Linked DNA regions of Mus musculus: all the other regions are reported to be linked to region 2. The links are microRNA targets in miRTarBase. Many come from high-throughput screens and were not tested one by one. Region 2 holds a microRNA gene; each other region holds the end of a gene's coding sequence.
The links. The annotated mature microRNA mmu-miR-362-5p reads AAUCCUUGGAACCUAGGUGUGAAU and lies in region 2 at 1,979-2,002, shown strand. An mRNA with a match to its seed (bases 2 to 7 or 8) in the 3' UTR can be bound and repressed. Matches are read on the target gene's strand: a 7mer-m8 pairs with bases 2 to 8, a 7mer-A1 pairs with bases 2 to 7 and ends in A, and an 8mer does both.

Region 1: the mRNA of Pofut1 is a reported target of mmu-miR-362-5p. The part of its 3' UTR that is shown has no 7-base or 8-base seed match.
Region 3: the mRNA of Cul1 is a reported target of mmu-miR-362-5p. The part of its 3' UTR that is shown has no 7-base or 8-base seed match.

Annotation. Positions count from the first base shown.
Region 1 is chr2:153,265,432-153,268,431 of GRCm38, reverse strand. Pofut1 (protein O-fucosyltransferase 1) reads right to left here. Exons shown (of 7, transcript NM_080463.3): 7 at 1-2,737. The coding sequence ends at 2,549. Among named protein-coding and RNA genes, the nearest start is that of Kif3b, 24 kb to the left of the region's middle.
Region 2 is chrX:7,240,789-7,244,020 of GRCm38, reverse strand. Mir362 (microRNA 362) reads left to right here and starts at 1,975; the gene lies at 1,975-2,039. The region is part of intron 2 of Clcn5 (chloride channel, voltage-sensitive 5); the gene reads left to right. It overlaps Mir501 (microRNA 501), which reads left to right and starts at 2,670; the gene lies at 2,670-2,778.
Region 3 is chr6:47,525,468-47,528,467 of GRCm38, forward strand. It overlaps Cul1 (cullin 1), which reads left to right. Exons shown (of 22, transcript NM_012042.4): 22 at 87-677. The coding sequence ends at 167. Among named protein-coding and RNA genes, the nearest start is that of Ezh2, 68 kb to the right of the region's middle.

The DNA of each region.
Region 1 (3,000 bases), not on the chromosome of region 2:
GATAAGTCTGGGCTACATCAAGAGTTCCAGGCCAGACTGGCCCACAGAAGACCCTACCCCAGAGTACAAAAGGAAGCCAGTCTCCAGACCGATTAGGAGTGGGGAGTAAATGAACTAGCTGCTGAAGTAAATTGTTAATACCGTGAGCTCAGTTTTTTAAAGTCACAATTTTTGAGCACAGTTGAATTTTCTTATAGAGGTTGGTGATCTCTGAGAACTAGAGGCCAGCCTGGTCTAAAGAGTGAGTAGTTCTAAGACAGCAAGGGGTACACAAAGAAACCTTGGGGATAAAATCCAATAGTAACAGCTGGGGATTGATCTCATAGAAGGTGAGTCACAAACTATGAAACACTCCTCAGTGGAAGCTTACATAATTAAAAGCATCTATTCAGCTATGTTCACACAGGAAAAATAGGATGTGTGGTTATGTAGTAAAAAAAAAACAAAAACAAAACCCAAGACATTAAATGGAATATACTGCACAACCATGTAGGCTGGTGCCTTTAAAAAAAGAGACTGAAATACAAAAATAACTTGATATACTCAGAATGTGATTTCTTCTCCCACCTCCAGCACAATGGCCTAGCCTCTCACCCACAGGCAGCACCAGCTCCCCTCTGGGACGTCATCTTGGCACCTCATCTCCAGATGTTCCCTTGCTGTCCCTTCCTGCCTTAGTGCCTTGGCACGTGCCATGCTTGCTGCAGGGAGTGTGCAGCCTCCTCAGCTGAGCAAGTCCTCCTCCACTCCCTAAGGTGATTCCTTTAAAACAGTTTCCCTGAGCCCCTCCCCTTGGCATTCTTCACAGCTCTTCCCTTCCACAGCAATCCTGGGTCTTAAGCTTTCTCTGCTGCCACCCTCCTTCCTAGCACACAGTAGGCCATCAGTGAACACTTCCTGAAGGAAAACAGGTACTGTAACTACCCAGAGCTTCCTGTTTTTTATGTCGCTTCCTAATAGGGCTGGCAGCAGAAGCCAACAGCAGTATGCAGAGGCAGTCGGGTGGCTCATCATTTTCCTAGTGTCCTTTAGTGCACAATGTGTCCTGGGAAGCAACACACAGAGTCCAGTGGGTCTGGCTTACCACCCACAGCTATGCAGCCCTGCCTGGGAGAAAATGTCTCTAAACAGTCACTTTTTTTTTTGGTCAGAAAGAAAAGGATAAAACCAGGGGCAAACTAAGTAAGAGGATGCCCTTCAGGCCCCAGCACAGCGCCTGGCAGTAAGCAACAGTTACACTCGGCAATGGCCACATGGGAGTCTTGTTCTAGCCCAGGTTTACAACACTCATGAGCTGACGTGAAGCTTAGAACCCACCAGACTCAGCACTTACAGGGGAGAAACGGGGTCAAAGAGTACAGTGCTTGCCACAGACGAGAGCCCAGCACCTGCTCTTCAGAAATGCTGTGCCCGTCAGGGTGGTCTGCATGGTCACCCACTGGGGCTCCAGCCTCTAAATGTCCCTGTGCAAGGCAGAATCTAGGACCACTTGGCCCGTCACCTAGAGTTCACTTCTTATGAATGAGAGCAGCAGCATCAGGAGGACCTCACCACACTGGCTGGAGGGACAAAGACTGCTCCCAACCTGGGGCTTCACATGGCCTCTGTGCACGGACATGTCAGAGGCTTGGTGAGTAGTCCTTAGGGGACAGCTGCAGTGAGGGCTGAGACCACAGAGCAGAGGCTGGGAGGGTCTTAGAGACAGCAGCTTTCAGTGCACCCTGCCAGCCTCACTTGTGCAGTGATACTGCTGAGGCCCGGACACTGCCACCCATGGTGGGAGCACATACCTGTCCTCAGAGCACTGCTAACTCCTGCCTGCTGTGTTCACAACAGAGGAGCCCAGGGATGGCAGTGGCTGGGCCTGGCAGTGGAAAGTCTGAGGGCCCTTTAGGGGACCCCCAGAAGAGCAGCCAATAGGCCCACTTGCTTCTTGGCTTTGTCTGCATTTCATTTATAAGGTCACTTTAGGCTTTTGTGCTAATGGACTCCACTGATTTTTAAAAACAAAGGGGAGTTTTCAGGTAGTCATGCATGGCTTTGCATCAAAACTACAGAGATCAAGTGAGTGTTGTGGTAGACACTCCTAATCTCAGCACTTAGGAGGTAGAGGCAGAAGGACCAGGAGTTCAAGGCCAGCCTGGGCTATATGAGATTAGATCTTAACCTTACCCCTTTGCTCCTCCCCCAAACCCTCAACCAAGGGGGGGAAAATATATATGATATATATATATATATATATATATATATACATACACACACACATATATATATATATATATGATATATATTATGTGTATGTATGTGTATATATCAGGGTGTGCCCAGGCTGGAGGTGGGCTGCTTTGTATGTGCATGATCATGCAGCCCAGAGCAGCCCTGGCTGGGGACCATGGGAGCCAATGCCTGGGATGGAATGCCTTCTCTTCCAGGACGTCCTTGGTACTGTTCTCCACCTCTGGCAGAAAAGAAAAGGGATGTGTAATCCCAGGAGCATCCTTAGCAGCCAAGCCTGGTTGAGGGTGGGAGGTGGGGGCTTCAGATGGGATCAAAATTCATCCCGAAGCTGGGAGGGTCTGTCCATGCCAAAGAAGGACGACTGCCTCCCATGGAGGTCCCGCTCCCGCTTCACGAAGGCAGTGAACGAGGAGACACAGTTTCCAATGAAGTGGTCAGCCTGGCCGAGGATGTACAGGTCGATCTGGGCCACCTCGGGTTTCAGGCTCACCACCCTCACCTGTAGGGAGGAAGACAAGAGTATTAGCAGGTACCTCAGGCCAAGGTCAGCTGAGCCGGGACTAACACACCACACTCTCAGCCTTCCTCTCCTGACTGAAGTTTCAGACCAAGAGAAGGTTGGAGAGGATGAAGATTGGGGTCAGTGTTCTGAAGTGTGGTCTCCTGAGTCCTGTCTGCCACGCCATGCCTCAGCACCGCTCCTGCTGGTTCCTTCCGCTGCCTACCCTACAGTGTCCTCACAACTCATCAAAGGCTGCCCAG
Region 2 (3,232 bases):
GGAGCCAGTGGTAAGTTGGGCAGTCCAGTCTTTGTAGCATGTGCATACAGGAGGATGAAAATCATTCTCACTGTGTACGATCACATATACATGCCTGAGAAGCTGCAGGATGCACTTCCTTACTTTAGCCTCCACTTTCTAAGTGTCAAACCTGATTCATCACGTTCTCAGCACACATAGGCAACCTTCAAATGCAGAGGCCCACTGACAGCTTAGCAGGAACAGAGTCCTGCTCCCCTAACCTTGTTCTCTTACACCTCTAAGGAAGGGTAGTGGGCTCTCTTGGTTTTCATCTTTGACGGAGCTGTTATAGGAAGGTATACTTGTTTGTTAACACTGACATTTTTGTAAACACATACCTAGACAGTCATAGATATGCTTTTGCATCAGCTGGGTAGATAGGAGAACAAATATGAATGAAGCCCATCTATAGCTAGGTGTACATCATATATAGGCCCGTGAGCATAGAAGGTTTCTTTTGTTTGATACACTTGTTTTCTCATAGAGAAAAATGCCTTACTGTCATTCATTTATATTCGCTCTCCCCCCTTCTCTACTTCTCCCCTCTCTCCTTACTCCTGACTCTCTTCACTCTCTGTGACATATAGTAGGAAAGTGAAAGATTGAAACTTGTGATTTTGTCTTTCATATCCCTCACAGAAAGGGGTGTGAACTTCGTTGATTTAGGCACATTGAAGAAGAATTACCAGAGAGCCAGTCCTTGCATTGCCTTTTACAGATTCTCCGAGTCACTGATATTCATGCCTCCTTCACCTGGCTTTTGCATATATGAGTATGACCATACTATTGTAAACAGGACATTCATTTAGACACATGTGTACAAAAATGGTAGTGTAAGAGGTAAAAATAATAGCCAGGGGCCAGGTCCTGCATCCTACTCTAGGCTTGCATCTTACCTAATTTTTTTGGTACTCTTTAAAGAGATAGCATTTGTTATTCTCATTTTTTAGAAGTAGTCCATGACCTTGGAGAAAGCAGGTAGATTCTTTAATCCAGTACATGGTGAAGTATAGGTTTGAAACAGGGTTTGTAGATACCAAACTCCACAGTTTCTCTGTCTTATCCATGATGCTGGTAAGGTCCCCAGCATCACCCAGCCCCTTTTAGAAATACAAAATCTTGAGCTCACTAATGAGAAACCTCTGTAAGTTATCTTAGTACCAAGTCCTCCAGGTATCTGAAGTAACTTTAACAAGATGCTGATGTGTGTTAAAGGATGCCAATCTCTACTGCCATCTTGTGAGCTTATGGCCTCTTCTCTCTGTCTCTCTGTCTTTTTTTCTTTCAGTATTTTGTATCTCTGGCTTTATATTTTTATAATCTCAGAACAAAATATGAATGTATATATTTAGACAGGTTTCTCTGTCTCTGTCTGTCTGTCTGTCTGTCTGTCTCTCTGTCTCTGTCTCTCTTTGTCTCTGTGTCTGTCTGTCACTCTGTCTCTCTCTCTCTCTCTCTCTCTCTCTCTCTTTCTGTGTATGTGTGTGGAGGGTGCAGAGGTCAACCTGAGGTGCTTCCCCTTTGGGGACATCTACCCTGTTTTTTGAAACAGTCTCTAATAGGGACTTGGCACTCACCAGTTAGGCCAAGGGATCTAGCTTTCTTTGAGTCCTCACGCTTGGCTCTTTTATGTGGAGGCTGGGAGTTGAACTCAGGTGCCTAGACATACTTAATGTGAAGCTCAAGAACATTGTCTTCTTTCTCATCACAGATAAGCACCTTGTGTCAAAGGTGAGCCCATGCGTTCATTTGCTGTGAGCCTTTTGCCCTGCTTCAGTTCTCTGATCCTTGCTACCTGGGTGAGAGTGTTCTTCAGCAAGGATTCTGAGAGCCAGACCTTTGTGTTTGTAAAGGACAGAGCGCATCTCTCGTTCTCTTTTAGTGTGTTGCACACAAGCATATTGACCACACACAGGAAGGGCAGGTTCCTGAGCCTTCTTGCTTGCTCCCCCTCTCGAATCCTTGGAACCTAGGTGTGAATGCTGCTTCAGTGCAACACACCTGTTCAAGGATTCAAAGAGGCTGAGCCTTGTCTGCGTGTAGAATGGCCCATACTTGCACATCTCACCTGCCACCTTCCCTCCTCCTGGCCACCATTTGATTTTGGTTTTAGCTGTCAGACTTGGTTCTACACATTTTCTAACAGCAAAATGGTCTTTATCATGTTTGGTAGACATGCTTCTATTCTCAGCATGAGCTTTCTTGATTCCCAGTTTGCTAAGTGTCAGATCATGTGATGAGGAGCACACATTAGGTGCTGCTACTCAGGCAACCCGTTTGTTACATCCAGTGATAACCCCTGTTCCACAAAGCTTGAATTGTATAAAGGCATTGGAAAGGAATGGAGTATCCTCCTCCACTGTGCCCTCTTTCAGTATGTATATGCATTCTCAGATCCCAGCCTTCTTGCTACCTTCCAAACATAAATCAGGCCCCCACAAATTCTCAAGTATGATCTGGGAGAGATACCATTTTGTATACGTAGAAGTTTTCTCTGAGAGAGGATGCTCATGGTGGGAAGGGGGCAGATACATATATAAATCAGGGATGTCAAGCTTGGGTATAGGTGGTGATGCTTGGCTGAATCAGGACAAGGAAAATTAAATATTATATACAGAACCACACAAACATGGTACAGGTGCCTGGGCCTTCTGCTCTGCTCATCCTCTCTAATCCTTTGTCCCTGGGTGAAAATGCTATTTGTATGCAATGCACCCGGGCAAGGATTTGGGGAAGGTGAGCCTGATCTGCATGGAGAAGGACAGGAGGTCTGTGCATCATATCTCATCTGTTTGCTGCTTGCATACTTCTTTTATGCCTCCCCCCACCTTCTTTCCTTCTACAAATACAACGGGCATGGTGCATGGGAGAGTAAATGTGACAAATTTGGCCTCTTCCCACCTAGATTTTATAGGTAGAACTTTATTTCCACTTATGACCCTAACAGGTATCAAGAACAAGTGGGGCACATAGTAAACTGTGTATTGACATAAGTGCGCAGCTTTTCATTCTAGTTCTCATACCGACACCTGGAAGAGAAATTCTTCTTTAGTTCAACTCTTGGAGGAATGCACAGGGCAAGAACAGTAAGCCTTCTTGTTGAACCCACATGCCAAGGGCATAGGTGCAGGCTGTGCCTTTCTAGTACTTGCTACTTGGATGAGTGTGCTTTGCGAATGCAATATACCTGGGCAAGGGTTCAGACATTGAG
Region 3 (3,000 bases), not on the chromosome of region 2:
TGGTGAGGGTGACAGACCTCTTTCCTGATGGTTATTTTCATTTCTCTCCCCCTTTAACTCCCTCTTCTTCCTAAAACAATGCCCAGAAATGCATTGATATTCTCATCGAAAAAGAATATTTGGAGCGAGTCGATGGTGAGAAGGACACCTACAGTTACTTGGCTTAACCCATCTAGCAGGGTCTGCATGACCCACAAGCAGATAGTTCCAGTGAATAAAATGGAAACAACTCAAGTTCATAGCAGCCAGCCTGCCGCCATTTGGACCTTCATTTTTAAAGCTGAGACCACAGTTCCCACCAGCTGGTTTCAGGCTACAGCAGGACTGCTCAGGACTGACTGACACATTTCAGTCTGTAAACAGACGCCAATGCCATTTACCCTAACTCACAGACAGAGGGGAACCGAACCTTCCATGCTGAGGCTGCATGCTACCGCACTTAAATCAATACATTGGCTCCCTGGTTAACAGCTGTCGTCTGAGGCAGCACACGAGAGCGAGTCTGAATGGACCCACGTGTAATCTGCTATGAAAACCATTTGTATAGTGTGTTTCATTTTTTTAATGTGTGAAAATAAAGAAAATTAAAGGATTTCTGTACAAGTTGCATTTGGTTTTGTTTTAAGTTTTTCTAATTTCTATATGTAAATAAAAGATTTAATGATTGTGCAAGTGTATATTCCCATTGTCTTCCTGAAATCCAAAAGGGCTGCATTCTTTGGATTGGAAATTAAGATCTTAATTTTTAAAGTCCTTAATCTTTTTGGGCACTGACCCTTGTTTTCTGAGACTTATTCAGTACCGTGAGTATGGCGTTTGAGAGGTACCATACTCCAGATTGCTGCTGTCAACTCTGCAGGGACTAAATGAATACTAAGACAGGTGTAGAAGCTGGTCTGTATCACTGCATCTAAATTATTGGAAACTCCCTGGCCACCAAGGAGGATGGTCAGCCCTCTCCACTTGTGTGTGAGAACTGAGAATCTCTCTCATTCCAGGTCCCTCCTAGTGAAGCTTTTCCAAGGAGGCTGCCATATTCACCCCAGGATGTCCCCGGAAGGAGGGCCCAGGCCAGGGATTGAAGGCTCTCATCTTCCTCAGATCCAGTCCAGCCCAGGGTCATCCTCAGACCTCCAGGGACTCTGCCACAAGGCACTGCACCGACCTTTGCTCTCAGTCTCCATTTCCTGGCTAAAGGGCAAGAGGAATGCAGAGGTGGTGATGGAATCTTCAGCCAGTCTCAGCGCTGTCACTCCACTCCATGGTTCATTCTCCTTAGGATGCCCTCAGGGTTCTCGGCTTCCTTACAAGCTATTCCTATGCTTGTGGAATTCTGAAGAGGCTGACACTGAATGCACTTAAGTTCCCATGCTTTATTTTGGGGTTAGGGGCACAGTTGTACTTATCAATCTCAGGCTTGCACACTAAGCCACATTGTTAGCCCTTTGCTTTGAGATAGCAATGTGTCTAACTGGGCAGCCTAGGCTGGCCTCAAATTTGTGATCTTGGTTCTGCCTCCCCAGTGCTGTGATTATAAGCACGCTTCATCATACCCATTCCTCAATTTCTCGTATGTCTTAATAATTAAGACTCTCAGTATATAAACCAGTTAACAAGTGAATCACCCTCAAGGGCTCTAGAGCTCCACAGACAATGATGCTCATGGCTTGCTTGTCCTAACAGTTGATTTGTTCAATTTTACAATTTAAACAAGCATGCTGTTTTTTAAGAATTTGCCTTAAATCCATGAAGAATAGGAGAAGAGGACAAGCAAGTTTGGCTGGGATCTCTTTGAATGCTCCATGTGTTTGTAGGTAAGTACACAGGATCTAGACTGCAGACTCCGCTAGGGCAGAAGGTCCAAAGTCCATGCTAACCTCACGTTTTAGATTGCTGGTAAGTGAACAGTGTTGTTGGTATGTGTTCATTCAGCTTCCTGCTCTGCTGCCACTCTTTTTTGCCATAATGGATTCTCCCCTTCTAGAATCCAAATAAGCTCTTTGTTCTATAAATCAACTTTTGGTTGTGATTTATCACAGCAAGAGAGAAATAACATACATTTATCTTCTTTTGAGGCTGTAGGGGCTAGGCAGGCAAATCTCTGAATTTAAGGCCATCCTGGTCTATATAGCAAGTTCTAGGCCAACCTAGGATACATGGAAGACCTTGTCTCAAAAGGGGGAAAAAAAACACCCACACACACAAAAACCTGGAAGGTTCACAGGAAGCTTCAAATATCTAGAAATGAGGTCAATGTGGACTATAGGTGGGTTTCTGGTAGTTAGATAAAAATCGGCATTCTTCAGGAACTGGTCCTCAGACCAAAATGAGTCATTTCCCTTATGGTAGAAGAGACATGAGAGCACATGCTCACAAGTACCTACTACACATTGCAAAGTCCATGCTAATCCTTAACCCTGCTTACCTCCTCCTCTATCCTGCTCTCCACTAGTAACCCTGTTCTTACTGTGTGCCCCACCCCCTTACTCATTCTGCTAATGCTTTTCTCAACAATGTTTTCTCTATTCTCTTTCCTCTGCTATTCTCACCCTAGCTATGTTCAATCTACTTCCTCTCTCTGCACTGGCTTCTTCCAGATGCCTCTGGCTGTTCTCTCATATCTCTAACAAAAACCATAGCATGGGGTGGTCATGTCAGTTTATACATCTACAAACCTGAATTTCTACCCCATAATAATATAGTTACTCCATGATAACAGGATGACTGTACAACTATGGATAAAATCTAGGTTACACTCAAGTATGTCAAAGTATTTACCTCCTGGGGCCATGAGTTGTCCCTGCCTTGGCAAATAAAACTTTAAAAAAAGGCAAAATAAGCAGAACCTAGATTCAGGGGTCTGCCCACTCCCAAAGAGATGAAAGAGTGAAAAAAAGGACCAAGTACTGGGGCAAGACTGGCAACTATTAGAGCAACAGAAGCTCACCTGTTAATCTTTTACCTTTTAAAGGCTTGCTTCTTTAAATCACAGTTCCTAGT